Rattus norvegicus: one gene and its partners. The protein of the gene in region 3 interacts with the protein of the main gene of each other region in a biochemical or structural test. Links are inferred from orthologs where the notes say so. Each region holds a gene or a part of one and is shown on either strand. Other genes may lie near its edges. The genes, in order: Ubc, Irf1, Trim28, Ube2i, Zfp955a, Fbp1 and Cbx1.

Region 1 (4,235 bases), on a different chromosome or scaffold from region 3:
GTAGCCAGGGCTACTACATATGGAGACCCTGTCTCAAAAAAAAATCTCAAAAAAGAAAAAGGTTGAGATTAAAGGCATTTAATAGTGTGTGTGTCTGTGTGTGTGCATGCTACATGTATGTGAGTGCCCCTAGGGACATTGGACCTCCTTGAAGCCTTGAGAAGCTTTGGAGTCAAAGGCCTTTGTAAGCTAGCTGCCTGACAGGGTTGCTCAGTATTGAACTCTGGAAGAAGACCTGCTCTTACTGCTGAGCCATCTCTCTACCCTAGGGATTCAATTCTTACCTTCTAAGGTCTCAGGCCTTACATTTCAAAAACCTGAATAGGCTGAATTTTACAAGTGGGGTATATGTTTGCTGTAATCTGAACATTGTACTAAACGTGTACTTTTTGTGTGTGTGTGTGGGTTTTTGTTTGGTTTTGGTTTTTTTCAAGACGAGGTTTCACTGTGTAGCCCTGTAGACCAGCACTTAGAGGCAGAGGCAGAAGGATCTCTGTAAACTTGAGACCAGCCCGGTCTACGAAGCCTATTCCAGGACAGCCAGGGCTATACAGAGAAACCCTGTCTGAACAACAAAAATTAAAAAAATAGGATTTCGATGGGTTCAGTCTCAGAATATGAACAACATTTTGATATTTTGACCTTTCCTTAGTGACAATCGAACAGAAAACAGAACCTTCTCGAATCCAAGGACACCAGACATAAACAGACTTAGGAAGAATCTGGAAAGATCTAGTGCCCACTGGGCTTCAGATCTAATGCCAACAGTTTTCAAGAACTGTGAGGACTGACTGCTTTTCTTGACGAATTCAGATTCGTTTTCCCAAACTGGGGAGAGATCCCCCCCCCCCCCATTTTTTTTATAAAAAATAAAAAAAACCGTTGTCATTTCCCTTGTTATGAGATTTGCACAGTCATCCATCCTGTCACCGTGCCAAAACAAAGAGGGCTGGGCACAGTGACGACCGACTCGAGGTGAGGGAACTTAGGAGCCGAGGCCACCAATGGAATATCAGTGTAACAAGAGCCAAAGCCCTAGGTCCCCCTAACAGAAAGAGGCGACTGGGACCCTTGACGGAGGGGGTGGGGGGTAGTTGGTGGGTCTCCGGCTCGCTTAGCCACAGTGCGCCTGCGCCGAGGTCCGCTCCGGCTGCAGTGATCCCTGCCGGGTTTTAGCGCCGATCACGTCACAGGCGCTGATCCCTCCGCGGGGTCGCGCAAGGTCGCAGTCCTGCCCCTCCACACAAAGCCCCTCACTCTCTGGCCTTCGCAGTGGAACAACCCCATGAAGCGATCTTAATGGTTTTAGCCTGTCGCTTCCATTGCAGAGATTGGACCGGGCATTAAAAAGTAGTCCCCAACCGCATTTCCGCGGAGGAATCCAGGGGTGGGCGGGGCTCCCGATGACTATATAAAGAGACGCCTCGCGTCCCGCAGCTAGTTCCGTGGAGACCGCCAGTTCCGTCTCTACTCTTTTGTGAGGACTGCAGCCAACACCGCTGGTGAGGAGAAAGCCGCCACACCCGGCGGGGGCGGGGAGGCGGGAGGGGGCGAGAGACAGCCCGCGGCCCGGACGTTTGGTTTCCGTGGCCCGCGAGGACGGCTGCTGTCCTGAGGCCGAGGACCGGGCGGCAAGATGGCGGCCAAATGGAAGCCTGAGGGGGAAGACGCGCGGTCCTGACGCGCTGGACCAGGTTGGGGGAAGCAGGCCCGCGAGGCCGCTTGCCGCCGGTTAAGCCGGGAACGTCAGAGGCTTGGGTTGGGAACTGAATTCGGTTGGCGCGCTGTAGGAGCCTCTGATGTGAGAACTGTGGGTATTAGACGGGAGGGAGATGTCGGTTATCCGGAATTCGTCGGTTGCTAAATACAGGAGTGCGATTGGGAAGGGAGGGGGAGGGTGGCGGTCCAGCCTAGCCTATCGCCCCTGTGACGTCGCGGTTTGTGTGGTCTCACAGTGTATAGTGACGATGGCTTTAGCTTTCCCTCAGTTGTAGGACCGGGTTTGGGTCTCGGCCTCGGGTAGCCTCTCCAGAGTAAACAGGAACCGGAAATTCAGAGGGGGAACGTGAGCCTGACTTACATTGAGTCTTTCCTTGTCTCGCTACACGGATATGGCTGCGGAAACTATTTATTAGACAAGGGTGTTTTTTTTTTTAAGATTTATTTCTTCAGGGGTTGGGGATTTAGCTCAGTGGTAGAGCGCTTGCCTAGGAAGCGCAAGGCCCTGGGTTCGGTCCCCAGCTCCGGAAAAAAAGAACCAAAAAAAAAAAAGATTTATTTCTTCAGACACACCAGAAGAGGTGTGATCAGATCTCATTACAAATGGTTGTTAGCCACCATATGGTTGCCGGGAATTGAACTCGGGACCTCTGGAAGAGCAGTCAGTGCTATTAATCACTGAGTCATCTTACCAGCCTGACAAGGGTTTTAAACTTTAAAAAAATCTCTGCCTCTACCACCCATGTGATGAGGTCCAAGGCCAGTGCCACTTACCCCAGACTACTTTTTTTTTTAATAGAGTTTATTCAGGGCATGGGAAGGGGAGTTGAGGAGGGAGTAAAGCTGGTCGGAACATGTGGAGAGAGAGCAGGGAGGAGAATGGGGAGAGAAGGGACAGATGGGGTGAAAGTAAGAGGTTAAGAGGATAAGAGTAAGAGTAAACTACTGTTTAATTGTTCAGACAAAAGCTTGGGGGAAGGAGAGTTGAGGCAGGATCTCACTGTCTCAGGCTGACCTCCCAATTCACGAAATCTGCCCACCTCAGTGTCCCCAGTGCTGGGAGGAAAGATATGAACATAGTTCAGTTTTGTAGTAGTAACTGGCTCTATCTACCAGTCGGGACCTGAATCCGGGATTTCCAACTATTGCCTTCTAAGCTCTTGAGTTTCTGACTTCTTTGGAGTGGGTCCTCCTAAACCCCCCTCCCCCAAGGTGAAATGTGGGTCAGGCTTTTCTCCAAACTGCAAATAGTCAGGGACTGACTTTCAGCAGTTCCGTACTGAACGCTCCACCCTGCCAACTTGGTAATAGACAATGCCTAATATTCATAACTTTGTTCCATCAAGACTTTTATTTTCTTGTTGGTTTTAGGGGGTAAAATTCAAAACAGTCTGTGTAGCTATTTAGACTAAACTACTAGCCACCTCACAGATCCAACGGTTGGTGGCACTCTAAAGAATTTGTGTCATTCCTGACCTGTTTTTTGGTTTTTTGTTTTTTGTTTTTTTTTCCATAGACAATGCAGATCTTTGTGAAAACCTTAACTGGTAAGACCATCACCCTGGAGGTCGAGCCCAGTGACACCATTGAAAATGTCAAGGCAAAGATCCAGGACAAGGAGGGCATCCCCCCTGACCAGCAGAGGCTGATCTTTGCAGGCAAGCAGCTGGAAGATGGCCGCACCCTGTCAGACTACAACATCCAGAAGGAGTCCACCTTGCACCTGGTCCTTCGCCTCAGAGGGGGCATGCAGATCTTTGTGAAGACCCTGACAGGCAAGACCATCACCCTGGAGGTCGAGCCCAGTGACACCATTGAAAATGTCAAGGCAAAGATCCAGGACAAGGAGGGCATCCCCCCTGACCAGCAGAGGCTGATCTTTGCAGGCAAGCAGCTGGAAGATGGCCGCACCCTGTCAGACTACAACATCCAGAAGGAGTCCACCCTGCACCTGGTCCTTCGCCTCAGAGGGGGCATGCAGATCTTTGTGAAGACCCTGACAGGCAAGACCATCACCCTGGAGGTCGAGCCCAGTGACACCATTGAAAATGTCAAGGCAAAGATCCAGGACAAGGAGGGCATCCCCCCTGACCAGCAGAGGCTGATCTTTGCAGGCAAGCAGCTGGAAGATGGCCGCACCCTGTCAGATTACAACATCCAGAAGGAGTCCACCCTGCACCTGGTCCTTCGCCTCAGAGGGGGCATGCAGATCTTTGTGAAGACCCTGACAGGCAAGACCATCACCCTGGAGGTCGAGCCCAGTGACACCATTGAAAATGTCAAGGCAAAGATCCAGGACAAGGAGGGCATCCCCCCTGACCAGCAGAGGCTGATCTTTGCAGGCAAGCAGCTGGAAGATGGCCGCACCCTGTCAGACTACAACATCCAGAAGGAGTCCACCTTGCACCTGGTCCTTCGCCTCAGAGGGGGCATGCAGATCTTTGTGAAGACCCTGACAGGCAAGACCATCACCCTGGAGGTCGAGCCCAGTGACACCATTGAAAATGTCAAGGCAA
Region 2 (4,002 bases), on a different chromosome or scaffold from region 3:
CGGACAGCTAGGGCGAGGAAGGTGACACAGGAGAATGACACCATAGAGGGTTGATGTAAATGCTGTGGGGAAGTGAAGGAAGAAGCCCGAGGAGCCAGAGTTCGGCATGGAACATGTACACACTAGCCCAGCCGCTAGGAGAAAACAAACTGGCAAGGTTTACTCTTGCGCACTAGTTAACCCGCTGCCCTTGCCAACCCTCTGGGACCTGGGTCCCCGATTCTGGCCACAGTTTCCCTATGCTGCCCGGAACTTCTCCAGAGCCAGGCTTTGGGGACTCAGAAATGCCTTCAAGACTATCAGAGAGGAACTTTCTCCCAAAGGCTACAGAGAGGATGTAGAGCTGAAGCAGGAGTCCTAGAAGGAACCACAGTCACTTCTGAATTTTCTCCACTTTCAGGTAGTCCCAGAGATACAAGGGAGAAGGGTCACCTTGTTCACTGCTAGAACCTCGTGAGGCACAGGAAAGCACACACACCATCTCTCCCCATCAGGACGCGGTGTGTCTCCCTGAAACTCCCATCGCTGCAGACTAGTGAGTGGGCTATTGCCATTTTGAGGTTAAGGAAATTAAGAGTCCCTGCGTCCTTCAACAGCTGTGCCTGCAGAGTCCAGGCTGGGAGTTCCTACCGCCTTGCATTCTAAGTTAGGCCTTCTGCCTCAACTTCTCAAAGCAGCAAGTGGCCGTTAAGAGAGTTATCATCTAAAGCAGTATAGGGACCGAATCCCTCCCTTTTTGACACTTCATTACCAGACTGATTTTCAGGGTGATTCGGTCCGGGGGTCCCTTCTGGAGAAGGAAGCAGGTGTTCTGGAGACCTAGGGAGTTAGGTGTCTCCGGTGGAGGAGAAGGGGGAGACCGCCACATGAACCAGCAGGCTAGGAGCCTACAGGACGAGAGGGAGGGCCTCGGCTTTCCAAGACAGGCAAGGGGGCCGGGGGTGGAGTGGAGCACGGGGCGGGCCCGCGGGAGCCCCGGGGCGGTGGCGCGGGCCGAGGGGGTGGGGAGCGCAGCCGCCTTGTACTTCCCCTTCGCCGCTTAGCTCTACAACAGCCTGATTTCCCCGAAATGATGAGGCGAAGTGGGCCAATGGGCGCGCGCGAGCGGCCCGGCGGGGGCGTGGCCGAGTTCGGGCCGGGGAATCCCGCTAAGTGTTTAGATTTCTTCGCGGCGCCGCCGACTCGCCAGTGCGCACTACTCCTTCGTCGAGGTAGGACGAGCTCTCACTGTCTGAGCCAAACCGAACCGGGCCGAGCTGAGCCGAGGTCAGCGGTGGCCAGAGGAACCCAGCATCTCGGGCATCATTCGCTCCGTGCACGCATCGTGTACCTACACCGCAACTCCGTGCCTCATTCCCGGGTACCCTCTGTGACTCGCTCCTGCAGCAAAGGTAAGCCCGCCGGGGCTGCACGGGTACGGACGGGCGGCGTGAAACAAAAGGCGCCCGGGGCACCAGGAAGTGGGGGCCAGAGACACCCTGGGTCGGGGTGGCTCGCTGGCTGGGGAGGGCGCCGCGAGCGAGCGGCCGGGAGGCGGGCCGCGGCGTGCACCGCCCCCTGGCCGCGCTCGGCGGTCTGCGTGCGCGGAGCCGCTGCGGGGCCTCTCGGTAGCCCAGAGCGGCCATCGCGCGCACCCGCTAGCAGCGCCGGGGACTCGGATGTCCGCCCGCGCGCAGTTTTGGCGGTCGCAGCTTGACGCCTGGGCTGTAGGTTTCGAACGCGCAGTGTTCAGTGGCAGAGGTTGGCTCGCTGCCTTGACTGGCTGGACCCGGTCGTGAACTACAAGGCTTTCGGGAGGAGGTGCCACAGGTGTTGCTTGCGCCACTTCTCTTTGCAGCAGGGGAAACCAGGCCGGAAGGGGTTGTGCCCCGGGCTGTATGTTGTGGGCACTAGCTGTCAAGAGGGGATGTAGTCTGGATTGGAATGGGTGGGGGGAAGTGCCCTGGAGGGTGACTTGCTTGCCCAGCCTGGAAGGTGTAGAGCTGGGGGTGACAACAAGCAAAGCAGTCCCTTCCATCCTCCAAAGATTGAATTTTGAGAAAAAAAAGTTATGTGTTTTGCGCACCCCCACCCCCACTTTTTTTTGTACATATATCCTGAAACCATTCAGACAGACTTGCTTGGTTGTTTCTTCCTGAGGCTGGCTGGGAGAGACCGAGATAATGGGCAGGTGGCTTTGCCTATGGTGCTGCCAAGTTTCATTCTACTGTAGGGTCCTTTCTCTATGACTGTGGGACCTGTTACCTGGTTGATGGCAGGAGAGTGGGGGAGGGTAACGACCTGGGTGAGGACCGGGGAAGGTAATTGAGTGATCGGCCTTGGGTGGAGCAGGGCAGTGCCCAGGATTGTTTAACAGACTCTAAACACAGGCCTTCTGTCTTCTCCCTCCAGCCACCATGCCTATCACTCGGATGCGAATGAGACCCTGGCTAGAGATGCAGATTAATTCCAACCAAATTCCAGGGCTGAGCTGGATCAATAAAGTGAGTGTTCTCCTGGGTATTTCTGCTGTTTTAACCCATGTTCTCTTGGGGGGACTCAAGTTCCATTATCGAACATGAGAGCAGGAAAATGTGTTTCCTAGTGGGTGCTGCATGCCAGAACGGCTAAGGTCTGACTTCTGCCGCTTGCTTCTTCCTTCCTGAAGCTGTGGCCAGTCCACCCTCCTAGTGGCAGGCACAGTCTCAGCACCAAGACTTCCCAGCATCTGCAGAGCCCGGGGTCTTCTCTTCCAAGAGAAATGCTGTATCCCTAACATTCCACATAGCTCCAGTTGGATAGACAGGAGACAGAAAAGCGGTCGATGCTGGTTAGGAACAGGGCTAGTTAAGTAGGAACCCAAGAAGTCACAGTTGGCACACCTGGCAGTAGAGCAGCAGTGACAGCATTGGTTATAATGATTATGTGCTTAGCACCGTTTAAATATGATACCAAGTTGCACATTTTAATTGTCATAGTAATCCTGAGAGGTGGGTCTCAGAGAAGGAAACTGAGGCACTTTAAGATAGATTACAAGGTGGTAAAAAGTGTGAAACCCAAACTTGGTTGAAAATGGATACGTTAGCCAGTAGTAACAAGAATGGTGGTAAGATCCTCATCTTAGGGCTGGCTCAGCAGATAAAGGCACCTTCCAGCAAGCCTGACAGCCTGACTTTGATCCCTAATCTCCTCATGGAAAAGGAGAGTACGAACTCCTACAGGTTGTCCTTGGACCTGTACACGGGTGCCGCGGCTTGCGCGCACGTCCAACACGTACACACATAATACATGCATAAAAATTAAAAAATAAAAGCAAAACCTTATTCATTGTGGCTGTTGTCCCCACACATAGATAAACCTTTTCTCTTTGAGTTCTGTCTTATTTAAGGGGAGAGGAATAGGCCAGTACTATACAGGCAGTCCTCATCCAGGTCTGGCCCAGGGCTCCCTTGGGTGTATGAGCAGGACCCTATATAGGAGCCAATGTGCTTGGTGTCCTGAGGAGACTGCAGCTAGAAGTTTCCATGTTCCAATGCTCATTAGCCAGAGATAAACAAGCAGCCAACACCTGCCAGGCCAGGGCCGAGAGGGCACTGCTTAGGTTCTTGCTTACCCCAGGAGCTAAGGCAGGGGTGTCTTTGTTGACCTTCTAGTGCTGTGGCTCGTCAGAACTTAGACCCCCTTCCTAAAAGATGCAGAGCGCCTACCCGTTAAAGGCAGCTGGGATGGGTCAATCTAGGCCAGATGTCGGGGTGAAAAGGGGAAGTCAGCCTTTTCCCATACTTGGGGACCCGTGCATACTCAGCCGCACTCGGAGCTGACACAGTCTTCTATGTGCACTGTTCAGGAAGAGATGATCTTCCAGATCCCATGGAAGCATGCTGCCAAGCACGGTTGGGACATCAACAAGGATGCCTGTCTGTTCCGGAGCTGGGCCATTCACACAGGTGTGCAGGGTGGGGGAGGGGCAGAGGAGAGACAGAGGGGATACAGGCTACCATCCATGCTCTGGGTGGCCTCTCA
Region 3 (4,172 bases):
TGTTAAGTACTCTGAGCCATCAGGACCTTGTTTATTTGGCAATGGTTCATTGGCAGATGGAAAGATAACTGAGAAATAGTAAGTAGATTGTCTTTTCATAAGCTTGTTTTTATTCCTTATAATGTTAGTTGGTGTGGTCATTTGGGAGTAAAATTTCCAGATCTAGGTCTTAATAAATGGGCCAGGGTTTTGGGAAAAGCTGGGATAGGGTTATAAGGGGTTTGTTTTCTTTGTTGCTTGAGTTGGAGGTGACTAAGGGCAATTCCTATTTCTTAGGTCCTGCTAAGACTCGAGATGGAGAACGAACAGTCTATTGTAATGTGCACAAGCATGAACCCCTTGTGCTGTTTTGTGAGAGCTGTGACACGCTCACTTGCCGGGACTGCCAACTCAATGCTCACAAGGACCACCAGTGAGTCTCAAGGCGTAGGGGGTTGTTGGATACCATTTCTTAAGTTTTGCATGCAGGCTCACTTTTTTTTTGTGGTCTCAGGTACCAATTCTTGGAAGATGCAGTAAGGAACCAACGTAAACTCTTGGCTTCACTGGTGAAACGTCTTGGGGACAAACATGCCACACTGCAGAAAAACACCAAGGAGGTTCGAAGCTCGTAAGTTCCGGTGCCAGGGCTATTGGGGTCCCAGGGCAAGGTTTCTGGCTTGACTTGACTTGTCCATTAGGATCCGCCAGGTGTCTGATGTGCAGAAGCGAGTGCAGGTTGATGTGAAGATGGCCATTCTGCAGATCATGAAGGAGCTGAATAAACGGGGACGAGTTCTGGTCAATGATGCCCAGGTAAAATTTAGTGCTGGAATGGTATTGGTCTGCTTCTGCTGGTGGCTGACATGACAGTATCCAGGGTGGAGAAGGATCCTTCCTAGTGCTCTGCTTTCTTTAATGAGGCTGTTTTTTCCTTGACTTGCAGAAGGTGACTGAGGGTCAGCAGGAACGTCTGGAGCGTCAGCACTGGACCATGACCAAAATCCAGAAGCACCAGGAACACATTTTGCGCTTTGCCTCTTGGGCTTTGGAGAGTGATAACAATACAGCCCTCTTGCTCTCTAAGAAGCTGGTGTGTAGTGGTGGCCTTCATTATTCAGCTAGGTGGCCCCTCAGCACCTTGGGATCCTGTAAGTTGCCAACTATGCTTATGTGCTACATTTTTGCCCCATTAGATTTATTTCCAGCTGCATCGGGCCCTCAAAATGATTGTGGATCCTGTGGAGCCTCATGGTGAGATGAAGTTTCAGTGGGATCTCAATGCCTGGACCAAGAGTGCTGAAGCCTTTGGTAGGTTACTTAGTCCTTTGCTTTTTTTTTTTTTTTTTTTTTTTTTTTGCTCAACCATGGGAGCATTCAAAGCAGTATTGTGCCTAATGGGGTTTCTCTTTTCTTCAGGTAAGATTGTGGCTGAGCGTCCTGGTACAAACTCCACGGGTCCTGGGCCCATGGCTCCTCCAAGAGCCCCAGGCCCCCTAAGCAAGCAAGGTTCTGGTAGTAGCCAGGTGAGCTGGGTAGAGGAACCAAGGAGAGGGAATGAGGGCCATGGGGGTTTACTTATATCCCTGCTGATGGTACATGTTCTGTTCTTCTGTCTTTAGCCCATGGAAGTACAAGAGGGCTATGGCTTTGGGACAGGTAGGTAGCTTTGCCTAGGAAATTGGGCTTGGTAAGTACCCTCCCTGTCTTTGTCTTTTCTGCCAACTCTTTTGTTTTCTGAGCAGATGATCCCTACTCAAGTGCAGAGCCACATGTATCAGGCATGAAGCGGTAAGTATGGCAACCCATTGAAGTAGCAGGGGGTACAGGATTGGTGTGGTAGGGATGCATGTGAGCTCATGACAAGATATACTAATAGGTCCCGCTCTGGTGAGGGAGAAGTAAGTGGCCTCATGAGGAAGGTGCCACGTGTGAGCCTTGAACGCCTGGATCTGGATCTCACCTCTGATAGCCAGCCACCAGTCTTCAAGGTCTTTCCTGGAAGCACCACTGAGGACTACAATCTAATTGTTATTGAGCGTGGTGCTGCTGCAGCAGCCGCTGGCCAGGCTGGGACTGTGCCACCAGGAGCCCCTGGTGCCCCACCCCTGCCTGGCATGGCCATTGTCAAGGTAAGCCTGTCTTTTTTTTTTTTTTTTTTTTTGGTTCTTTTTTTTCGGAGCTGGGGACCGAACCCAGGGCCTTGCGCTTCCTAGGTAAGCCTGTCTTAATTACATACAGGATGATGCTTAGAGAGTGAAACCTGCTACCCTAGATTCTGATACTAATTCTGATACTAACACTCAATCTGTCTTGCAGGAAGAAGAGACAGAAGCTGCTATTGGAGCCCCTCCTGCTGCCCCTGAGGGGCCTGAAACCAAGCCTGTGTTGATGGCTCTGACTGAAGGCCCTGGGGCTGAGGGACCTCGTCTAGCTTCACCTAGTGGCAGTACCAGCTCAGGCTTGGAGGTGGTAGCTCCTGAGGTTACCTCAGCCCCAGTAAGTGGGCCAGGTATCCTGGATGACAGTGCCACTATCTGCCGTGTATGCCAGAAGCCAGGTGACCTGGTCATGTGCAACCAGTGCGAGTTTTGCTTCCACCTGGATTGTCACCTCCCTTCCCTGCAGGATGTTCCAGGGTATGTGTGAAGCCAGGCAGAATCAGATCGTGGAGGGCTGGTTGTCATCTTTTACAACTAGAGTTGGTTGTCATCTTTTACAACTCCTATTATTCTTCATCCTAGGGAGGAATGGAGTTGCTCACTCTGCCACGTGCTCCCTGATCTAAAGGAGGAAGATGGAAGCCTTAGCTTGGATGGAGCAGATAGCACTGGTGTGGTAGCTAAACTCTCACCAGCCAACCAGCGGGTGAGGGCCGAATGCACATGTGTTGGGTGGCCCAGTAGCTAAGGCCTTCTGTGCTACAACTCTCATATCTCTTGTCTGTCTAGAAATGTGAGCGTGTTCTGCTGGCCCTTTTCTGCCATGAACCGTGCCGCCCCTTGCATCAGCTGGCTACCGACTCTACATTCTCCATGGTGAGTAGTCCCAGAATAGGAGAGGTTGCAGGTGTCAAGTTGGTAGCCCCACTCAATGTCTGTTGTCTCTCCCTGCAGGAGCAGCCTGGTGGTACCCTAGACCTGACCTTGATTCGTGCTCGCCTCCAAGAGAAGCTGTCACCTCCTTATAGCTCCCCCCAGGAGTTTGCCCAGGATGTGGGCCGCATGTTCAAACAGTTCAATAAGCTGACTGAGGTGAGCCTGCAGAATGAAGTGGGGAGGGGGCAGCAGGGGGAAGAAAAGCCAGAACCCACTCACCAGTGTACTCTTAATTGGACCAGGACAAGGCAGATGTTCAGTCCATCATCGGCCTCCAGCGCTTCTTTGAGACACGAATGAATGATGCCTTTGGTGACACCAAGTTTTCTGCTGTGCTGGTAGAACCACCACCACTGAACCTTCCCAGTGCTGGCCTAAGTTCTCAGGAGCTGTCTGGTCCTGGTGATGGCCCCTGAAGCTGGGGCTCTTGTGGTCAGCCCAGTCCAGCTCTGGTCTCTGTATTTTCAACCCATACCCTGTCCTTCCTCTGGTGGCCTGACTACCTGTTCTTGCTGGCCCCATCCCTCAGTCCCTCCTCACAAAATGGTTTTTACTTCTGTGGATTTAATAAAAACTTCACTGAGTCAGTCGCTCATTCCTCAGCTGTTTGGGGACTGTTCCTGAGGACTTAGACTCTGCCTGCATGATACTCTACAGGGGACCTTACCTCATTTGGCAGGGTGAAAGATTTATTTGTACAAGTCTCTGGTGAAACTTGGAGTTCTCAAGTGTGCAATATGCCTCCCAGTGGCCAGATAGCATATTTAGACCTGCAGCTACTCAAAAGCTTAACACTCAAATTGGGTTGTGTGTAGATTCTCAAGGGGTTCTTGTTTTTACAGAGTCTGGCTATCCTGGAAACATATAAACCAGGCTGGCCTTTAACTCAGATTTGTCTACGTCTAGGGTGCCAGGATTGAAGGTATGCGTTAATACTTGAATTATTATCCTTGCTATGACCCATAACAGCACATAATGAGTAGACAGTCATTAGCTTAAATCTCATCTGTTGTCATGGATTGTTAGTATTAAACACCTCACTGAATGTGTTAGATGGAGGTATGCATTGTCTGGATGCTGCCAGCCCACTTTGGT
Region 4 (4,299 bases), on a different chromosome or scaffold from region 3:
GATTACAGGCATGAGTCACTCCACCTGGCTCCTAGACCACTTTTTCCTTTCCTTTATTTTTGGAGACATTCTCACCATGTGGCCACAGCTGGCCAGAAACATACTATGTAGACCAGGCTGGCCTTGACAATTATGCACCACAGCACCCTAGACTGCTTTTGATGACTGTACAAGTACACAAGTAGAGAAAGGCTGGGACTGCCATCAGAGGTGGCAGCATCACCCAGGAGCCTAGAGTTCAGGAAACATTTTAGTGGGTGAGGTCACTTTTAGACAAACGCCTGTATTGGCATTTTTTTTTTTCCGGAGCTGGGGACCGAACCAGCTAGGCAAGCGCTCTACCACTGAGCTAAATCCCCAACCCCTGTATTGGCATTTTTAATATCCTGTACACTCTAAGCCAACATGAAGAAACTTTCAGAAGCACAAGCTGGGAGTGGTGAGATAGCTCAGCAATTAAGAGTACTACATGCTCTTCCAGAATACCTGGTTTAATTTCCAGCACCTACATGGCAGCTTATTTGCCTGTAACTCCAGTTCCAGGGAACCTGACAACCTCACATAGAGGAATGCAGATAAAACAACAATGCACATAAAATAGATTCTAAAATTAAAAAAAAAAAAAAAAAAAGCACAAGCCGCCAAGACAAGCCTCGACAATGTTGGCATTCCTAAGCATACCTAGCTCTATCAAACATCCTGATTCCTTTTTTATAAATCACAAAAGGCAGCACCTATGTTCCACAGCTCCAGTCCCAAAGCACAAAGTGTACAAACTAAAGGCAAGGCTCCTCTCTTACCGACCTCAAGTCTAAAACACAGGGTCCAGCCCAAACCCAACTGTCTTTCCCCAGCAAGGAGTAAAGCCTGTCTGCGAACAAGCACAACCACGGAGGTTCTGGCCACCCCAACACCTGCCCTAATAATAGTCCTTGTAGTCAATGTAGGACCCAGGTGGCATCCATCTAAGAGGACAGGCAGTTTGCTGGCCACAGGGGCTGCTGATAAGAGCAAGCTTTGACAGCAACGCCCAGGTGACACTGGCGCACCTGAGCTGTCTGGTTAGAGGGTATGAGGGCAGAGGTAGACCCAAGGACATCAATGGCTGGAGCAGGGCACAGAAGCCTATGTATCCAATGTGTCCCTCTTCTCAACTTCTCAATGCACAAGCCCAATCTCGTCCTCGGGCTTAAGGGTACAAGCACTCTAGCTTCTTTAACTAAGGGTAGGCAGTGAAGGAGCTGCTCTCCTCACCCAGCCAGTCAGATGGCAGAAGATCCCAAGCAAGTCTGGGCAGGGTTTCCAAACAGGTCTCTGGACCCCGGGTCAGTTCTCTGAAGAAGCCTGGACACTATGCTACACAAGCTGTTGGACAGCCATAACTGACCTCAGGAGAAAGTTGTGTGCCCAGAAAACTCTGTCCTAGCATCCAACTGCAGTTATCCTAAGTGAGAAGAACCGAGAAGCTAGCTCAAGTGGTGGCTCGTGCCTGCACACTCAAGTGTTAAGGAGACTGAACCAGGGGGACCCCCAAGAGTTCAAGGTTAGCCTTGGCTACAAGAGATGCTGTCTCAAAAGCAGGGAGGCAAAGTGAGAGACGGCTCTTACCAGAGCTCTTAAAGGTCCCACGGTCAAAGAAAAGGAACCCTAGAGACACACTGGCAACGATCTAAGCAGAAACTGGTCCTTGAGACAGTGCCGCTGCTCCCGAGAGCGGTAACAGTCACTCCACGAGCTAAAGTTTTGTGATGTAAATACACCCCTACCCCCGGCAAAGAAAAATTCGAAGGAAAAAACCCCCAAAAAACAACAAAATACAATCCTCTCCCCACTACTAGAGACCGGCAGAACACAGAGGGATGGGTCTTTCTACCACCTCAAGGTTCCTGCAGTGTGCAGTATTCGTCTGGCGACACCACCTACTTCAGAGTTACTTACCGGTCAGAGAACCTGTGCAAGGTTGCTTATCTCCGCCCACCTCGGCAGAGGAAACGTGGGTACCGGCCACTAAGGCTGGCTTGGATAAGGCTAAGCGGCCTCTTCTACTCGAATGCACACTCTAGGCCCTAAGGATCCTTCACTAAGTATACCACGCCGTTTCTTGAGTTTCTAGTGGCAGAGACAGCCAGAGGAGGGCAGGACTGCAATCACTCACAGCCTGAAAACCTTTAGAATCAAAACAAATTCCCCTTTGATACCCGTTTTCTGCTATGCAGAGAGGTAATTCATCCACTAAAACGGTTCCTTAAGAAAAAAGAACAGTGGGGCAGAGAACATGCACAAGACCCCCACAAAAACCCAAACTACAAGCCTAGCGTCTCAGCAACGAACGAAGTAAGCCAAGCCTTCTGCTGTGACTCCGGGTGCTTACAGGCCGCGACACGGCCCAGTGCCCACGGCCTTCCTGCACTCCCGCTCGCCTAACTACGGAGCCCAGCACCGCCCAGAATGTGTCTAGGAGCTACTGGGAAGCTCAGATTATCTGTTGTGGGGTCGGCGGAACTCAGTACGCCAAGAGTAGGGGGGTAGTGGGCCGTGTTCCCAACCCTGCATTCGCCCATGGCACAGCGGCTGGGCCCTATTGCCCCGAAGGCCGAGACTCGGAGGCGGGAGGAGGCCGCGAGCGAGAGGAGGCCGCTGTGGCTCCGCTCGGCGCCTCCCGGAAGCTCACTGGGAACGGCGGCGACTCCAGGCGAGGATTGGAGTGCGCGCGCAAGCCGGTGGCGGCTCACCTGGGCGACCGCGGCCCGGACCGTCGCGGCGGCAGAGGCGGCGGCGCTCCTTTGTCTCGGGACTTCCCTCCGCGCCCGCCGCGCGCAGCCCGGAGCGCAGGACCCCAGCGGGCGGGGCGGGGCGGGGCCTGAGTTGGGCTGCCCGCCGCACGCCTGCTCAGCGTACCGTCTTTCCGGTCCGGCAGCCTACGCCGTCTATTTAAACATGAGCTTCGCTCAGCCCTTACTCGGTTGCTGCGCTCTCGTTGCCCGCGACCACCTACAGAGCTGGGGCCCGGGGCGCCTGTCCAAGCAGGCGGTCCCCTGAACGGCCGCACTCTTAAAGGGGACGCGACCTAGGCTCAAGGGAGCGTCTGCAAACTCCTCATCGGGATCAGCGCGTCCACTCGAGGACACATCAGAGAGTCGTGTGAAGAAAAGAAAGCATAGATTTCCAAGGGTCATTCGGATGCTCAGAGGGCACCTTACCAGGCACAGGCTCTGGAGGTATCCTTGGGCTCAAGGCCCGAGTCCCGGGAGCAAAGATCACTGAGGCCTAAACATCCTGGGAATCGTCGCAGTACGGTGACGATCCCCGGAATACGGGGCGTTGAGACATTTTCTGTAATTGGCTAGCCCTGGAATTTGGGCGGGGTAAATCTCGAACCTACCCAATGAACGGACCTAATACAAAGGACCAAACGCAAACAAAACCGACGGGGAGAGAAATGTGGAAGCTCCCTAACCTACGAATTAGCCCTCGGTGGGGGAGGGGAATGGGCCGGAACCATGGGGGAGGGGCAGCACCCGAGAACTCCCCCGCCCCTAATCCTCTCCCCTATGCTGCACCCCACACCTCGTTCCACCTGAAACCCCTGCGCGGCTTCTGTTGGCACCACTGGACACGCTGTTGTCACTCCGTGGCCTAGTCCAGTTTCCTCCGCTAGTCCTCTGCAACCCAGCTCGGTGCTCGGATGCTTCCTCACCGACTCACCGACGGGACGGGTACTTAGAAACGTCGGCTGGCCCCCTGGTGGCCATCCTGGCGCCTGCTCCATTTTTTGGCACGTGCCGGAAGCCTTCGGGGCCACTTGCAGCCAACAAGGGCTTCCTGGGATATCTCAATATGAGCCCTGTGTTGCTGGAGACTTCAGTGTTTATCTGTCAATGTCTCCATCCATTTACTAACCTTCGTCCTCGTCCTCCTCTTCTCTTCTGAGGCTGTTGGGTGCCCCAGAACAGAGACCCAGGTCCCATGCCCTTTGCCCATAATTGCCCACCGTTCCCTGGAGCTCACCCTGTTAATTTCTCCAGTTCTTTGCCGTACTGTTTTAGAGTTAAGATCACGATGAGCACCAGATCCTGAGGGACCTTATTCTCTCATTGGGGCTGAGTTGTAGATGAGGTCTGCTTAGATACAGGTCCGTGACACCCAGTTGTGGTGGTTGGTGACCCCAGCAGATCTGTACCCCCAACAGAAGGCATCTATTTTGGATCCATCCCAGCCTGCACAGCAGCTTCCAAGACTGGTGGCTCCTGGGCACCTACATATGTTGACCAAGAGCAGCCCTGACCTGTGCATTGTACC
Region 5 (4,291 bases), on a different chromosome or scaffold from region 3:
TAAAAAGTTATGGAGGTAACCGACAGCTTTCTGACTGAATTTGAGGCCCACTCCACAGGAGTCATAAAATGTCAATATATCTCTACACAGTAACATCCTACTCCACACTCAGTTCTAGGTAGGTTACATAAACTAATAATTAACAAGAAAACCTGAGGGTTAAACTGTAACAGATAAAATGGATGTATGCTACTCAATAGAAAAAGAATCCATTCTGTTCTTCTCCTTTGTTTGGAGACAGAGTATGACTCCGTAGCCCTGGTTCACCTAGAACCCACTAGCCTAGACCAACTGGATCATGTTGGCTTTGAGCTTAGAGATTGCCTCTGCCTCCTAAATGCTAGGATTCGCCACCATGCCCAGAAGTAAGAATCCTGTTCAGCAATCCAGGCAACCTCTTCTACTGTAACATACAAAAAAGGCAGATGGGGCTGGTGGCTTAGCCAGTTAAAGTGCCTGCCACCTGCGTGATAGCCTGAGTGGATATCTGGGCTCCACATGGTATGAGAAAACAGATGCCTACAAGCTGTCCTGGGACTTCCACAGCTGTACCATACCAGCATCTCCCCCAGTCCCCACCATGTATACACAGAAATAAATAAATACAATTAGTCGATTGAAACACAAATTTTTTAAAGATGCCAATACCTGTAGTACTACAGAGATGGCTTAAAGACTGATCAGTGCATGTGAATGTGTGCGGAGAAATTATCCTGCATTATCTCATGTTTAGAAAACCAATGAAAAAAGGGGGTTTCCTCTATTATTTCATAATACAAAGACAGTAGAAATGTGTTCTATTATGTGAGCCTGAACAAGATATGCCACACTGTAAAGAGGGAGCGGGGATTTCCAAACAACACAGACCCCTGTCATTGCTTTTGGTCACCAATCACAACTACGCTTTAAACGGAACCACTGAAGGAACCACAGACTCTGGCCGCAGGGCATAACAAATCCTGCTGCTCTCTAGCTTTCAAGATTCCAGAAGGTGCGATGCAGGCTGCTGAGGTGAGAAAAGGCATAAACAGTCTTACTGACCCCGTGCTGGACCCTCCGTGTGGCAATACTGATCTGCCAGGCAAGAGCCACAAATGTTACAAGGGTAGCTAACCACTTTAAAAGTGTATTTTAAGGCCTCCTCCACAGGACAGAATTCCATGTCTGGGACTATAATAAAGGTCAAAAGACAATGGCTGAGGAGTTCGTAGGCCCGAGGACAGTGCCTGATTTTGTTCTTTTGCTAAACTGTTACACTGCCAGTATGCCTTACACATATTTATATTTAGCCTCAGATCTGGCCACTAGCACTCAACCTAGATCACGGATGCTTCTTTCTACAATGGGCAGTGTTAAGTCTCAAATCCTGGAACAAAAGGATGAAGTGCCTACTTAACATGTCAACGCAGGCACTGATGATCAGGTTCTCCCAGCATCCCTCAGCACCTATCCATTATGGGCCTTCTTGGCTGGCATATTGCCCCCTACTCTGAACTCTCCAGCCCAAGGCTGTTATTTCTATGTAATCAAACCATTTTGGTCACTCACCTTTGTACCTCTGGCCTCCTGGCTGCTGCCTCCAGTTCCCCTCTCTCCCCTCTCCTTTCCCCTCTTCCTTTCTCCTCACAGGGCTCAGGGTCCTCTCCACTGTGGACTCTCCAAAATGTCTCTGCCTCTGGCTATGCTCTCCCTGTTAGCTACAATAAACTTTCTCCTCCACCATACCTAGGAGCAACTTCAGGTCCTTCCTTTCTCTTTCTTTTTTTCATTCTAGGAGCAGTCAACAAAGAGATGTATAAAAGGTCAAAAGAAATGCTGACAATAAAAGACAAAGTGCTCAGTTGTAAATGGGACATCTATACCTAACCCCCAGCTGCGTCCACCACAGCTCAAGGAGCATCTTGGAAGAGGAGGCAAAAGGAGCTTAAGAACCAGAGAAGACAGAAAAATACTGCGAAATGCTGGGCATGGAAGAGTTCTGTGATATGCTGTCTTCTGGACATGGCAGGGATATTGTACTTAGGAGCTCACAAAGCTGTGGGGAGAGGTACAGTCCAGGCCCACAACTTACTAAGTAGTTACTGGCAATTAACAGTATTTTTGGAGAATAGTTCTGTTTAGAAGAAGTAGCCACTGGTAAGGTTCCCTTTCCAAACATCCATGCACATACTCGCAACACTTACTGGGGGAATAATAAAAATGATGATGATGATGAAGCTGGAAGAGAGGCTATTGGAAATATATAGGACTTTGAACGAGAAATAGGGATTGATTTTCGAGACTAAAGAGAAATTTTTAAAAAGAACCCAGAAGGATCACAGGGGTAAGCTAAAGCAGGTCGAGTGGGAGTACAAGGGCGGGCAAACAGAACTCTCCACCCACTCCCCCCGCGTTGGAGTCTGAGCAGCACTAACCAGTCAGCGCTGCAACGTCTGCAGCAGCTCAAATTCGTGACCCGGACTCATCCTGACAAGACCTGAACTACAGTAAAACAGCTTCACGGCGACAGGACAGGACACCAGACTCCCTTTTGGCTTCTCTGCTCACAATTCAAGAGCAGGTGGTAAGACAGAACCGGAGATAGACTCCTCCTCACACTCAGCTGCACAGCGCCAGGGGAACGTCAGGGCGGCAGCGCCACAGTACGCCACAGTCACCGCAGTGTCACAAACCCGCCACAAACGATTCAAGGAGCCCAGGGCACACTCACCATCTTCTGCTTCCGATGCATCCAGGTGTCCTCCCTAAGCGAAAACACAGTCAACAAGGTCGATGGAGCACACCTCTCAACGGTTTCTCGGGACTCAAACATGGCGGCAAAGGCCGCACCTTCCGAATATCCAGGCTTCTCATTGGACGGTTAATGCTAAGTCGTAACAGCTTTCCTGATTGGCGACTGATAAGCGGGGCTGCGGGACCCGGTTGGGTTGGAGATGGTGATCATCTAATAATCAGGAGAGCATCCCTTCCCTGGAGGGTTACAGTCAAATGGACAGGTGTCAGTTCCTTGTTCTGGGATACACCTGTTTTCCTTCTGGGATAAACCTGGTCCAATCTGGAGTAACCAAGTATTTGAGAAAAATACGGTCAGGGTTTTTGGAGCAACTTTCCTGGCGGTGTATATAGTGGACCACAGTGGAGTTTTCCACTTAAAAATACTGCAACAAGATTGATGGGGTAGTGTGGAGATTCAGTACTTCAGAATCAAAATACATGATTACACGGTAGGAGAGATCCCTAAAATCAGTCTGGACACGGGATCAGAAGAGGGACCTGACATGTAAACTCCAGGATGATGCAGGTGAAATAAACTGAACCTTCTGTAAGGCTGATATATTGATATCAGTTCTATTGATATAGAACACCAGGAATTGGAAAGGGTTTAGACTGTTACAAGTCCATTACGTTGGGGGAGTTTTTACCTGACCTAACAACTATATGACTACTGTGAAAATCATTTGGAATATGCAATAGAACAGTAGTTTCCTTTGGAATGTACAGAGCACTAATTTTGTAACCACCCAAAAAGACAAGAACACTATTAGAAGGCCTACTCCAGACCTTTCCTCCTTTATAACCTGTCCACCTTATGTTTCCACCAAGGCAAGAAAATTAAAATACTCCAACAAGGATACAATTATTCAATGTGAGAGGTATATGTATCTGTTTGTGTAGTTACATTGTAGCAATAGTATACAAAGGACGCAAGAAGTATGAAAGGGAACTCTTAGAGTTCTTCAAAAGAAAAAAAAGGGGGGTTCTATACCCGGAAAGCCTAGTTCACAAGTGCAAACATCCCCAAGACTCCGAATCATAGTAGCTGCTGTCAGAGACCCCCAGAGTCATTATTGATGAGTCAGAGACACTATTCCAACAGTATAACTCTTAGAGGTCCTTAGGACATCTCTCGTTTCTTCTATCATGAAATCTTTCTTTCAATATTTTAATATTCATAAGAGGAACTGTGTAATCCCCATTCATATTAATGTTTTACCTAAAGAAAGCTACCACATACTTTCACTCATATGTGGAAACAACAATCTGGAAATAAAAACAAAAAAAAAGACAAAACAAAAGTAGTAGAGGGACTATTAAAGAAGAACATGAGGATTTCAGAGGCTACAAGAAAGAGAGGAAATAATAAAGCAGTCATTAGGAGGTCAGATATGATCAATCCATAATATATATCACATATATATGTGACAATATGTCACAAGGAAAGCCATGAATAGGTTTAAAAATATGGATTAATAATTTGGCTAATTAGATTTTGAGGAATTTTTAATTCTCT
Region 6 (3,500 bases), on a different chromosome or scaffold from region 3:
TAGCTGATAACTTATTTAACCGTTTAAACTATTTTATGTCTACAACTTGGTTGGGTTAACTATCCTTCAGTCCTGGCCCACTTTTTGCTTCTCATCTCTTCAGCGTCCCCCTCAGCGTCTCTCTGAACTCATCTACCTGCTGGTTTATGTCCGTCTCCTCAGTCCTCCTCCTGTCTTGCCTCCTTCGTCTCTCCCCTCAGCTCTCTTTTACTTCTTACTATTTCCTAAAATCCCCTCTTCCTGCCAGTGTCCCACCTCCTGTTTCCTGCCTCAGTTCATTGGCCATTGGCTTCTCTATTGACTGGTGAGGCTTGTAATAGTCTCTCTACAAGTAGCTTCTACCACACATGAGTGACAACGATGTCTTCTTACAAGCCTAAGTACTAAGAATGGCTTCCAGCGCCTTGAGGCCTTAGAAGTAAGAGAAACAAATGACTAATTCTGTTTTGCTTTTTTTTTCCTTTGGAGCTGCCAGGACACTCTCAAACCAAATATGATTCAGTTATATCAGTGGCATAGGAAACAATGATTTAATTATCTGTTTTCTATCACTCCCTACTTTCTGTTCTAAATGATACGTTATCTCCCTGTCTGTCTGTCATCTGTCCATCCATCTTCGCATACTCCCAAACAGAATATAAATAGATAAGACCACTTTCCCCGCCTTGTCCTTTAAGTCCACTCAATACCTACGCACCGTGCTTGCCTTCTGTTTTCTTTGTCCAGGGCAAATATGTTGTCTGTTTTGATCCCCTCGATGGCTCATCCAACATCGACTGCCTCGCGTCCATCGGAACCATCTTTGGCATTTACAGAAAGGTAAAGTGAACTAAGGTGAAATGCACACAGCCCCTGGCTTTGACCAAAAAATAAGCATAGAGCATAAAGCTGTGTGGCTTGAACAGATGTGCAGCAAAATCTTATGACCTTGCATGTACTGTGCAAGAAAGGTCCACAGAGCTGCTGAGATACAGTGGTAGAATGCTGGTGGACCGAGAGGCCATTGCGCACTCTCAGCTATCTCTCTTTCACAAAAGACAGGGCAGATATTGTGACAACCTCCCCAAACCAGCCCAACCAGTCCCACTGTTTTCTTCTTTAAGCCGAAAGCTTCCCCCACCCCTGAGCTCTTTTCATAGGATACCGAGAACAAAGCCAAACAAGTCTTCTCACTTGGGACGACCCACCTCTCTTAGTTTAGTCTTGCTCTAGTAACTGGCAATATCCTTAAAAAGTATTTGGTTCCCATAACCGAGAATGGAACCGTAAAGGGAATGGTTGTCTGCCCTTGTGAGAGAAAAGCCCCAGGGAAACCAACCATCCAAACCACAAAAGAAAAAAAGAAAAAAGAAAAAAGGAAAACAAATTTTCTTTTCTTCCCCTGCCCGCCCCCCTCCCCCCAAGCCTCTGGTAACCTCCGTTCCCTCTCGGGTTCTGTGAGACCAGCTTTATAATGCCCTGTCCCCAGCACCTAGCTTGTCCTCTGACAACGCCAGAGAGATGCTACAAACTATGTTTCTGAGAATCTCTTTGCCATGGGAGTAACTGACCACACTGCTCAGTGAGCGTATACTTCAACTGACAACAGCTCACAGAATCGATTTTCTCATGAGACGCTCAGCCCAGCAGCCCTTGTGCTAATCTGTTTAAATAAAGATAGAAAAGGTAGGCGAAAGGTGCTGGGGCCTGTAATCAGGTTACATTCGTGGGGCTGGTGATAATGGGCGTTGCTTTTGGAAGCGGTAACAGAGACACGAGGGAAAATCAAATTAGAAAGATGTTAAGATGGAAAGAAAGATCCCGATGCCGGAAGCCAGGGCCCTTCAGGAAGCCCACTGCAATCAGAGAGCTGCTGGTGTGTGGAGAAAAGCAACACCTGGGACATCAGTGGCTTTCAAGGAAGCAAATGGTTCTCAACCTATATAGGTCTCAACCCCCTTAGAGGTTGCATATAGGGTATTTATATTACGATTTAGTACTGTAGAAAAAGCTATGAAACAGCAACGGAAATAATTTCATGGCTGGGGGGGGGGCGGTTCACGTTTAACGGGTGGTAGCATTAGGAAGGTTGAGAACCATTGCATTAGACGGCTGGACTGGAAAAAGAAAAAGGACCCCACGAAGCAAAGTGGAAACGTGCCTTTGTTTTCTCTTTTGCTTTAGACATCTGCTAATGAGCCTTCGGAGAAAGATGCTCTGCAGCCAGGCAGGAACCTGGTGGCAGCAGGCTATGCACTCTATGGCAGCGCCACCATGTTGGTCCTGGCCATGAATTGTGGCGTCAACTGCTTCATGCTGGACCCGGTGAGACATCCCTTAGACCGAGTACTTAGCTAGTAGCTTTGAGCTTGGACCTGGTTGGTGTGTGTGTGTGTGTGTGTGTGTGTGTGTGTGTGTGTGCGCGCGCGCGCGCGCGCGTGCCACCTAACCTGGGCCCGGAGAACTGACCCCAAGTCCTCTGGAAGAGCAGGAAGTGCCGAACCATCTCTTCAGCTCTCTCCTCTTTCTCCCCCCACCCCACCCCATCCCAAACAAAACAAAACACAACCAAAAACAACAAAAACCACGCACACAAGGTACAAAGCACAGCATGGCGTCCTCTGTGAGAGGCCTGGGAGAGATTTGCTCGGGGTGTGGCAAAGTGCTGTAAATCAGAGCATGATCTCTACCTTTGATCTGTGCATGCTTAACAAAACTGCACTTTCACCTTCCTGGGGGCAGGAACATTTAATTAATCAACTAATACCGGAGAGGAGGGGTGGCCACACGAATCAAAATCTCGGCATAAGTCCCCAGGGGAAAGCAGGGCAGGTCCAGATGGAACTTTAATCTGAGAGAAGGGCACAGCTTCTGAAAGCAGTGATGACTGCCAAAGTGTCACCTGTCCAGCTTGTCCAGTCCTCTGGATGAGCTCCCGGTGCCCCCGCTCTCACTTTTGAATAGACAGACATTTGGGGGAAAATTCAGTCTCTTGACTGCCGACTGCATCCGGGCTTGTGAATGGCTGGGTTTCTCCCTCCCCAGACACAGATGTTTTTGCTGGATCAGTGCAGCCGCTGGAATGCTCCCTTGCTGATTGCCAGGGATAGTTTCGATTTGCACCCTTTTGCTCGCTCTCTTTGGCCTGATGGAGGCAAGACTACTCCGGGGAGACGGCTAAGTGCCTCTCCCTTTCCTCGTGTCTCCCCTGCCAGGACTGCTAGGCTGAGACCCACCTGTGGCTACAAGTGGGTTTCTAGCAGGCTTCGGCTTTCGTTGAGCTTTTATAGCTCCTGTCTCTCTATGTGGGAGACTCTCCTTCACCTTCTGGGTACTCAGGCTGGGTACCAAGATGGCTGCCTGGGGAGCACGGGGGCCCGAGCTCTGCTGGTAGTTCCGGTTGCTTGCTGTGAGATGGTTTCCTTTTTCAGATGTTTTAGGTAGAGATATTTATTTTGTCTTCCTGACTATACAGAAGTATTCCTGTAAGTTCGTGGCCCAAATTTTTAGAAATAGAAACC
Region 7 (4,296 bases), on a different chromosome or scaffold from region 3:
GGGCATCAGATCCCATTACGGATGGTTGTGAGTAACCATGTGGTTGCTGGGAATTGAACTCAGGACCTCTGGAAGAGCAGTCAGTGCTCTTAACCACTGAGCCATCTCTCCAGCCCCTAGTATTGTCACTATTAAAGTTATCCAGAATGCATGGGTTGCCGCCTGGTTTTGGAGGCTTGACCCAAGTATTTTCAGGAAGAATCAGACTCTTTTGACTGATTTTTGTATGATATTGTGAAGCTAATCTCTCTTTTTCTTTTGTCTTAAGTTTTTTGAACAGGAAAGTTGTCCTTGTTTTGGTTTTTTGAGACATGCTCTCATTCTATAACCTAGGCTGGCCTGGTACTCCTTACATAGCCTAAGCCTCTCTTAAACTCACAACAATCCTCCTGCCTTAATCCTGAGTACTAGTACAAGAGGTCTTGGAAAATTTGATCAGTTCTATTATCTGTTGGACATCTCATATATTCACTTAAACCGACTATCAATGAATTTTTACCAATAAATACTGAGAGTCAAAGCATGACCGTATGCATGCTAGCAATAAGCACAGGACTTTACTGAGTGTGGCGGATACAATGAGTCTTCTGTCCTTACTGGAGTTCCCAGCCCAACAATTAGCAGCAGCAACCTACCTGAATCACAACTAGTGCACTTGTTAAAGAATGACAGTCGTGCCTTTTGCTTAGTTCTGTTTCTCTAGTTTGATAAAGTTTGTTCATGGAGATGAAGAAATCACCATGAAAGTCGCCCACTGGCAAGGACAACAAAGGGAAAGTTTTGCATGTGGTGGCACATGTCTGTAATCTCCGCATTTGGGAAGTGGAAGCAGGAAGATCAGGCGTTTAAGTGCTTCCTTGAGACCCTGTCCACTCAACAAAAACAACTAAAGTGAAACAAGAAAAAAGGAGGGGGAGAGAAAAAAAGAAAATTAAGAAAGTGGCGATGGTGTCTACCTAGAGGTTTAACTTTCTGAACGGAATACTGATTCAAACTGTGAGGTAGGAACCTCTTCTAGGTGGCAATAATAGATAAGCTTGCTGGACATTATTGAAGGTGGAGATTTGATAAATCTCAGGTAACGAATATGATAAGATTTTTCTTTTAAGTGCAGAGTGACCAAACATCAACGTGTTAGTTTCCAAACCCCCGTGTCCTAATTTTGTAGACTGAGCAAGGAGTACTAGCATGCCCCTGAAATCCAGCACTCTGAGGTTTGAAGCAATTGAAAGGCCACAACTTCCGAAGCCAGCTGGGCTACGTACCCTGTTATTAAACAAACAAACCCCACCATTACCCAGTAATTTTCTAGGCTGTAGAGTTATGTGTTCAAAACAGTCGACTTCGCCTTTCCAGAAAGTTAAAAAAAAGAAACTACAAAGAAAACTCTACAACTCCTGAAAGTGGAGGTGGGCGGCGCGGGATTCGCGGCACTCTGGGATTTGTAGTTTCGGGCCGACTCTGAATCCCAAGTTGCCCTGCGGCGGGTCGTCGCGTCTGCGCAGTGCAGGCGGCGGGCCGCGCAGAGTGAGAATCTCTTTTGTTCGGCTGAGGGGAGGGCCGTTGGCCGGGCCTGCGGTACGCCGCTTCATCTGGACGACCGACTTGAGGCCACACGGCTGTTTGCTCCTCTGGGTGCTACTCCCTGGGACCGCCTGACGCAACGCGCAAGAAGCGCGACACCGATTCCTCTCGGACTGTCGGGCGCTGCTACGAGGTGAAGAGGCGGGCTGGAAGCGGGAGGGGGAGCGACGGCGGGAGGCCGCGGGCGAGCGCGGGCCGCTAACGGAAGAGTGGAGACAGGAGCTGGGGACGCGGCCCAGCGCCCGACCGGTCGGTTTCCCGCGCAGAGCTCGCGGTCTGCGGGAGCGTGGAGAGGGCGGGGCAGTGAATCCAGAGTCCGGGCGCGGAGTGGTTCCTGAGGAGCGGAGCCATCGGAGGGTTAGCTTTTCAAGAACTAGACGAGGAGCGTTTGACCCGGCTCAGCAACTCTGGAGTTGGGCGGGAGAAGGAAGAAAACTTTGGGACGTCCATAAGGAGACAGGCTTGGTACTTTGGGTGTGCGTGGCAAGGATCACGACTTCGTACACTAAAGGTTTAGAAGTGTAACCTGAGAGAGTGGACACGGTGGCAATCGCGGGCAATCCCCTTAGCACTTGGAGGAAAGAAAAAGAAACCTGAGGATATTGGGTTCAATTGCCACTATCAGAGAAATTTCTCTTGCCAGAGTTATGAAAAAGTAATTTCCAGTAAAATTGGACGTGGGCTGCTCCGGGTGTGCTAACGGGGAAGAGATTTGTTGAACCTGTCTTGGGGTGAAGGGTCAGACATTTTCTTGACCTTGTCTAAAAGTGGAGTTGCTGGGGTAAGTAGGGTAGAAGTCTAACGTGTCCATGTCAAATGTGGAAGAAAAAAGGGGTACTTGGGGGTGTGTAGCTTAGTTGGTAGAATGTTTGCCTACCCTGCCGCAAACCCCTGGATTCAATCCCCAGTATCCCATAAATTAGGCTGGGTGTGATGGCCTGTACCTGTAATCTTAGCACTTGGGAGCTGGAAACCGGTGGATCGGAAATTTAAGGCCTTCCTTGGCTACCAGAGGAGTCAAGGGTGAAAAGGCCACTTTCTGCCTTTAATAGGTCTTTATTGTGAGTAGGGAGGCTGTATGAGGCAAGACTCATCAGATAAAAAAGGTTCTTGCTGTGTAAGCCTCAATTTAACTCTTAGGATCCAGGTAAAGGTGGAAAGAAAGAGTTGACTTCACAAAATTGTCCTCTGATTGACAAGTGGGGTATGGCAGGGACCAAAGAAAGCAGGTCCTGCATGCCCACAGGCATCGAAAATAGTTTTATACTGAAACACAGTATATGAAATATGGAACTCGGGGCTGGGGATTTAGCTCAGTGGTAGAGCGCTTACCTAGGAAGCGCAAGGCCCTGGGTTCGGTCCCCAGCTCCGAAAAAAAAAGAACCAAAAAAAAAAAAAAAAAAAAGAAAGAAAGAAATATGGAACTCATTTCGGTATTTGGTACTGAGGACCTTGCACACATGCAAGTTGTCTACCACTGAGTTATGTTTCAGTGCCATAAAAAGTCTTAAAAATTATATACTAGTTATATATATTATATACTAGTTACACTAGAATATAGTGTCCTCTCCAGTTTTGTGTTAATCAAAAGATCTAAGGTTTTCTGATAGATGTATGACTATAATCAGGATATTGGTGCCTGTGCTCTTCCTTGGATGCTCTCTAGGCATATATGGGAGGTGGTGTGTTGAAAAGAGCCCAGTTATCTGTGAGTACAGCCAGCATTTGGGGGGTAGAGGCAGGAGCAGCAGAAGTTCAAGGCCTAGGGAAAAGAGTCATATGTTCCTTAAAAGATTTGGGCAGTGAAAGCATTTCTAATTTTCTATCTAGTCACTTTTTTTTATTTTTTTTTTATTTTATGTATATGAGTACACTGTCCCTGTCTTCAGACACACCAGCAGAGAGCATCAGATCTCATTACAGATGGTTGTGAGCCTCTATATGGTTGCTGGGAATTGAACTCAGGACCTCTGGGAGAACTCTTAATTGCTGAGCCATCTCTTCAGCTTCCCTTAGTTTTGAAAAGTGGGGGCGGGTGTTCCATGACATACTTATGGAGATCAGGAACAACTTTGGGGGTGGGGGTCATTCTCTTCTGTAACACTTGTTCTAGTGATTGAACTCAGGTCATTAGGGTTGTGGGACCTTTACCTGTTGAATCAGCCTGATACCCCCATTTTCCAACTTTGAGGACTGGACCTAGAAGTTGGTATGTTTGGATTTTATCATCTTTTTTTTTTTTTTAAATTCATTATATATAAGTACACTGTAGCTGAAGAGGGCATCAGATCTCATAACAGATGGTTGTGAGCCACCATGTGGTTGCTGGGATTTGAATTCAGGACCTCTGAAAGAGCAGTCAGTGCTTTTTTTTTTTTTTTTTTTTTTTTTTTGCTTTTTTTCCGGATCTGGGGACCAAACCCAGGGCCTTGCACTTCCTAGGTAAGCGCTCTACCACTGAGCTAAATCCCCAGCCCCGCAGTCAGTGCTCTTAACCACTGAGCCATCTCTCTCTACAGCCCCTGAACTGAGATAGGTGTGCGCCATCATACCTAGCTGACAGTTTCAATTTTTTTAAGATTTATTTGTTACATATTAATTACACTGTCTATGTCCTCAGACACACCAGAAAAGGGCATCAGATCTCATTACAGATGGTTGTGAGCCACCATGTGGTTGCTGGGATTTGAACTCAGGACCTCTGGAAGGGTA

The links.
Region 1: the proteins of Trim28 (region 3) and Ubc are reported together in a solved structure, tested with the Homo sapiens proteins (2 studies listed by BioGRID, with this or other methods). The link is inferred for Rattus norvegicus from reciprocal best matches to the Homo sapiens genes TRIM28 and UBC.
Region 2: the proteins of Trim28 (region 3) and Irf1 form a complex in vitro, tested with the Homo sapiens proteins (2 studies listed by BioGRID). The link is inferred for Rattus norvegicus from reciprocal best matches to the Homo sapiens genes TRIM28 and IRF1.
Region 4: the proteins of Trim28 (region 3) and Ube2i form a complex in vitro, tested with the Homo sapiens proteins (6 studies listed by BioGRID, with this or other methods). The link is inferred for Rattus norvegicus from reciprocal best matches to the Homo sapiens genes TRIM28 and UBE2I.
Region 5: the proteins of Trim28 (region 3) and Zfp955a form a complex in vitro, tested with the Homo sapiens proteins (2 studies listed by BioGRID). The link is inferred for Rattus norvegicus from reciprocal best matches to the Homo sapiens genes TRIM28 and ZNF93.
Region 6: the proteins of Trim28 (region 3) and Fbp1 form a complex in vitro, tested with the Homo sapiens proteins (2 studies listed by BioGRID). The link is inferred for Rattus norvegicus from reciprocal best matches to the Homo sapiens genes TRIM28 and FBP1.
Region 7: the proteins of Trim28 (region 3) and Cbx1 form a complex in vitro, tested with the Homo sapiens proteins (3 studies listed by BioGRID). The link is inferred for Rattus norvegicus from reciprocal best matches to the Homo sapiens genes TRIM28 and CBX1.

The regions. Positions count from the first base shown.
Region 1 is NC_086030.1:36,899,065-36,903,299, forward strand, and holds the start of Ubc (polyubiquitin-C), read left to right. Parts: upstream 1-1,435; 5' UTR 1,436-1,502; exon of another isoform or gene 1,503-2,065; intron 2,066-3,235; 5' UTR 3,236-3,238; coding exon 3,239-4,235.
Region 2 is NC_086028.1:38,416,733-38,420,734, forward strand, and holds the start of Irf1 (interferon regulatory factor 1), read left to right. Parts: upstream 1-1,202; 5' UTR 1,203-1,391; intron 1,392-2,391; 5' UTR 2,392-2,396; coding exon 2,397-2,483; intron 2,484-3,826; coding exon 3,827-3,926; intron 3,927-4,002. UniProt on the Homo sapiens protein: Transcriptional regulator which displays a remarkable functional diversity in the regulation of cellular responses.
Region 3 is NC_086019.1:82,727,895-82,732,066, forward strand, and holds the end of Trim28 (transcription intermediary factor 1-beta), read left to right. Parts: intron 1-276; coding exon 277-412; intron 413-493; coding exon 494-610; intron 611-680; coding exon 681-795; intron 796-925; coding exon 926-1,072; intron 1,073-1,175; coding exon 1,176-1,290; intron 1,291-1,398; coding exon 1,399-1,505; intron 1,506-1,601; coding exon 1,602-1,638; intron 1,639-1,724; coding exon 1,725-1,770; intron 1,771-1,858; coding exon 1,859-2,111; intron 2,112-2,298; coding exon 2,299-2,618; intron 2,619-2,723; coding exon 2,724-2,847; intron 2,848-2,930; coding exon 2,931-3,017; coding exon of another isoform or gene 3,018-3,095; coding exon 3,096-3,233; coding exon of another isoform or gene 3,234-3,319; coding exon 3,320-3,493; 3' UTR 3,494-3,672; downstream 3,673-4,172. UniProt on the Homo sapiens protein: Nuclear corepressor for KRAB domain-containing zinc finger proteins (KRAB-ZFPs).
Region 4 is NC_086028.1:14,795,455-14,799,753, forward strand, and holds the start of Ube2i (SUMO-conjugating enzyme UBC9), read right to left. Parts: upstream 2,801-4,299; 5' UTR 2,733-2,800; intron 2,078-2,732; exon of another isoform or gene 1,939-2,077; intron 1-1,938. UniProt on the Homo sapiens protein: Accepts the ubiquitin-like proteins SUMO1, SUMO2, SUMO3, SUMO4 and SUMO1P1/SUMO5 from the UBLE1A-UBLE1B E1 complex and catalyzes their covalent attachment to other proteins with the help of an E3 ligase such as RANBP2, CBX4 and ZNF451.
Region 5 is NC_086025.1:13,417,361-13,421,651, forward strand, and holds the start of Zfp955a (zinc finger protein 955A), read right to left. Parts: upstream 2,801-4,291; 5' UTR 2,732-2,800; coding exon 2,711-2,731; intron 2,651-2,710; exon of another isoform or gene 2,415-2,650; intron 1-2,414.
Region 6 is NC_086035.1:2,227,207-2,230,706, forward strand, and holds part of Fbp1 (fructose-1,6-bisphosphatase 1), read left to right. Parts: intron 1-726; coding exon 727-819; intron 820-2,163; coding exon 2,164-2,304; intron 2,305-3,500. UniProt on the Homo sapiens protein: Catalyzes the hydrolysis of fructose 1,6-bisphosphate to fructose 6-phosphate in the presence of divalent cations, acting as a rate-limiting enzyme in gluconeogenesis. Plays a role in regulating glucose sensing and insulin secretion of pancreatic beta-cells.
Region 7 is NC_086028.1:82,265,266-82,269,561, forward strand, and holds the start of Cbx1 (chromobox protein homolog 1), read left to right. Parts: upstream 1-1,496; 5' UTR 1,497-1,717; exon of another isoform or gene 1,718-4,296. UniProt on the Homo sapiens protein: Component of heterochromatin. Recognizes and binds histone H3 tails methylated at 'Lys-9', leading to epigenetic repression. Interaction with lamin B receptor (LBR) can contribute to the association of the heterochromatin with the inner nuclear membrane.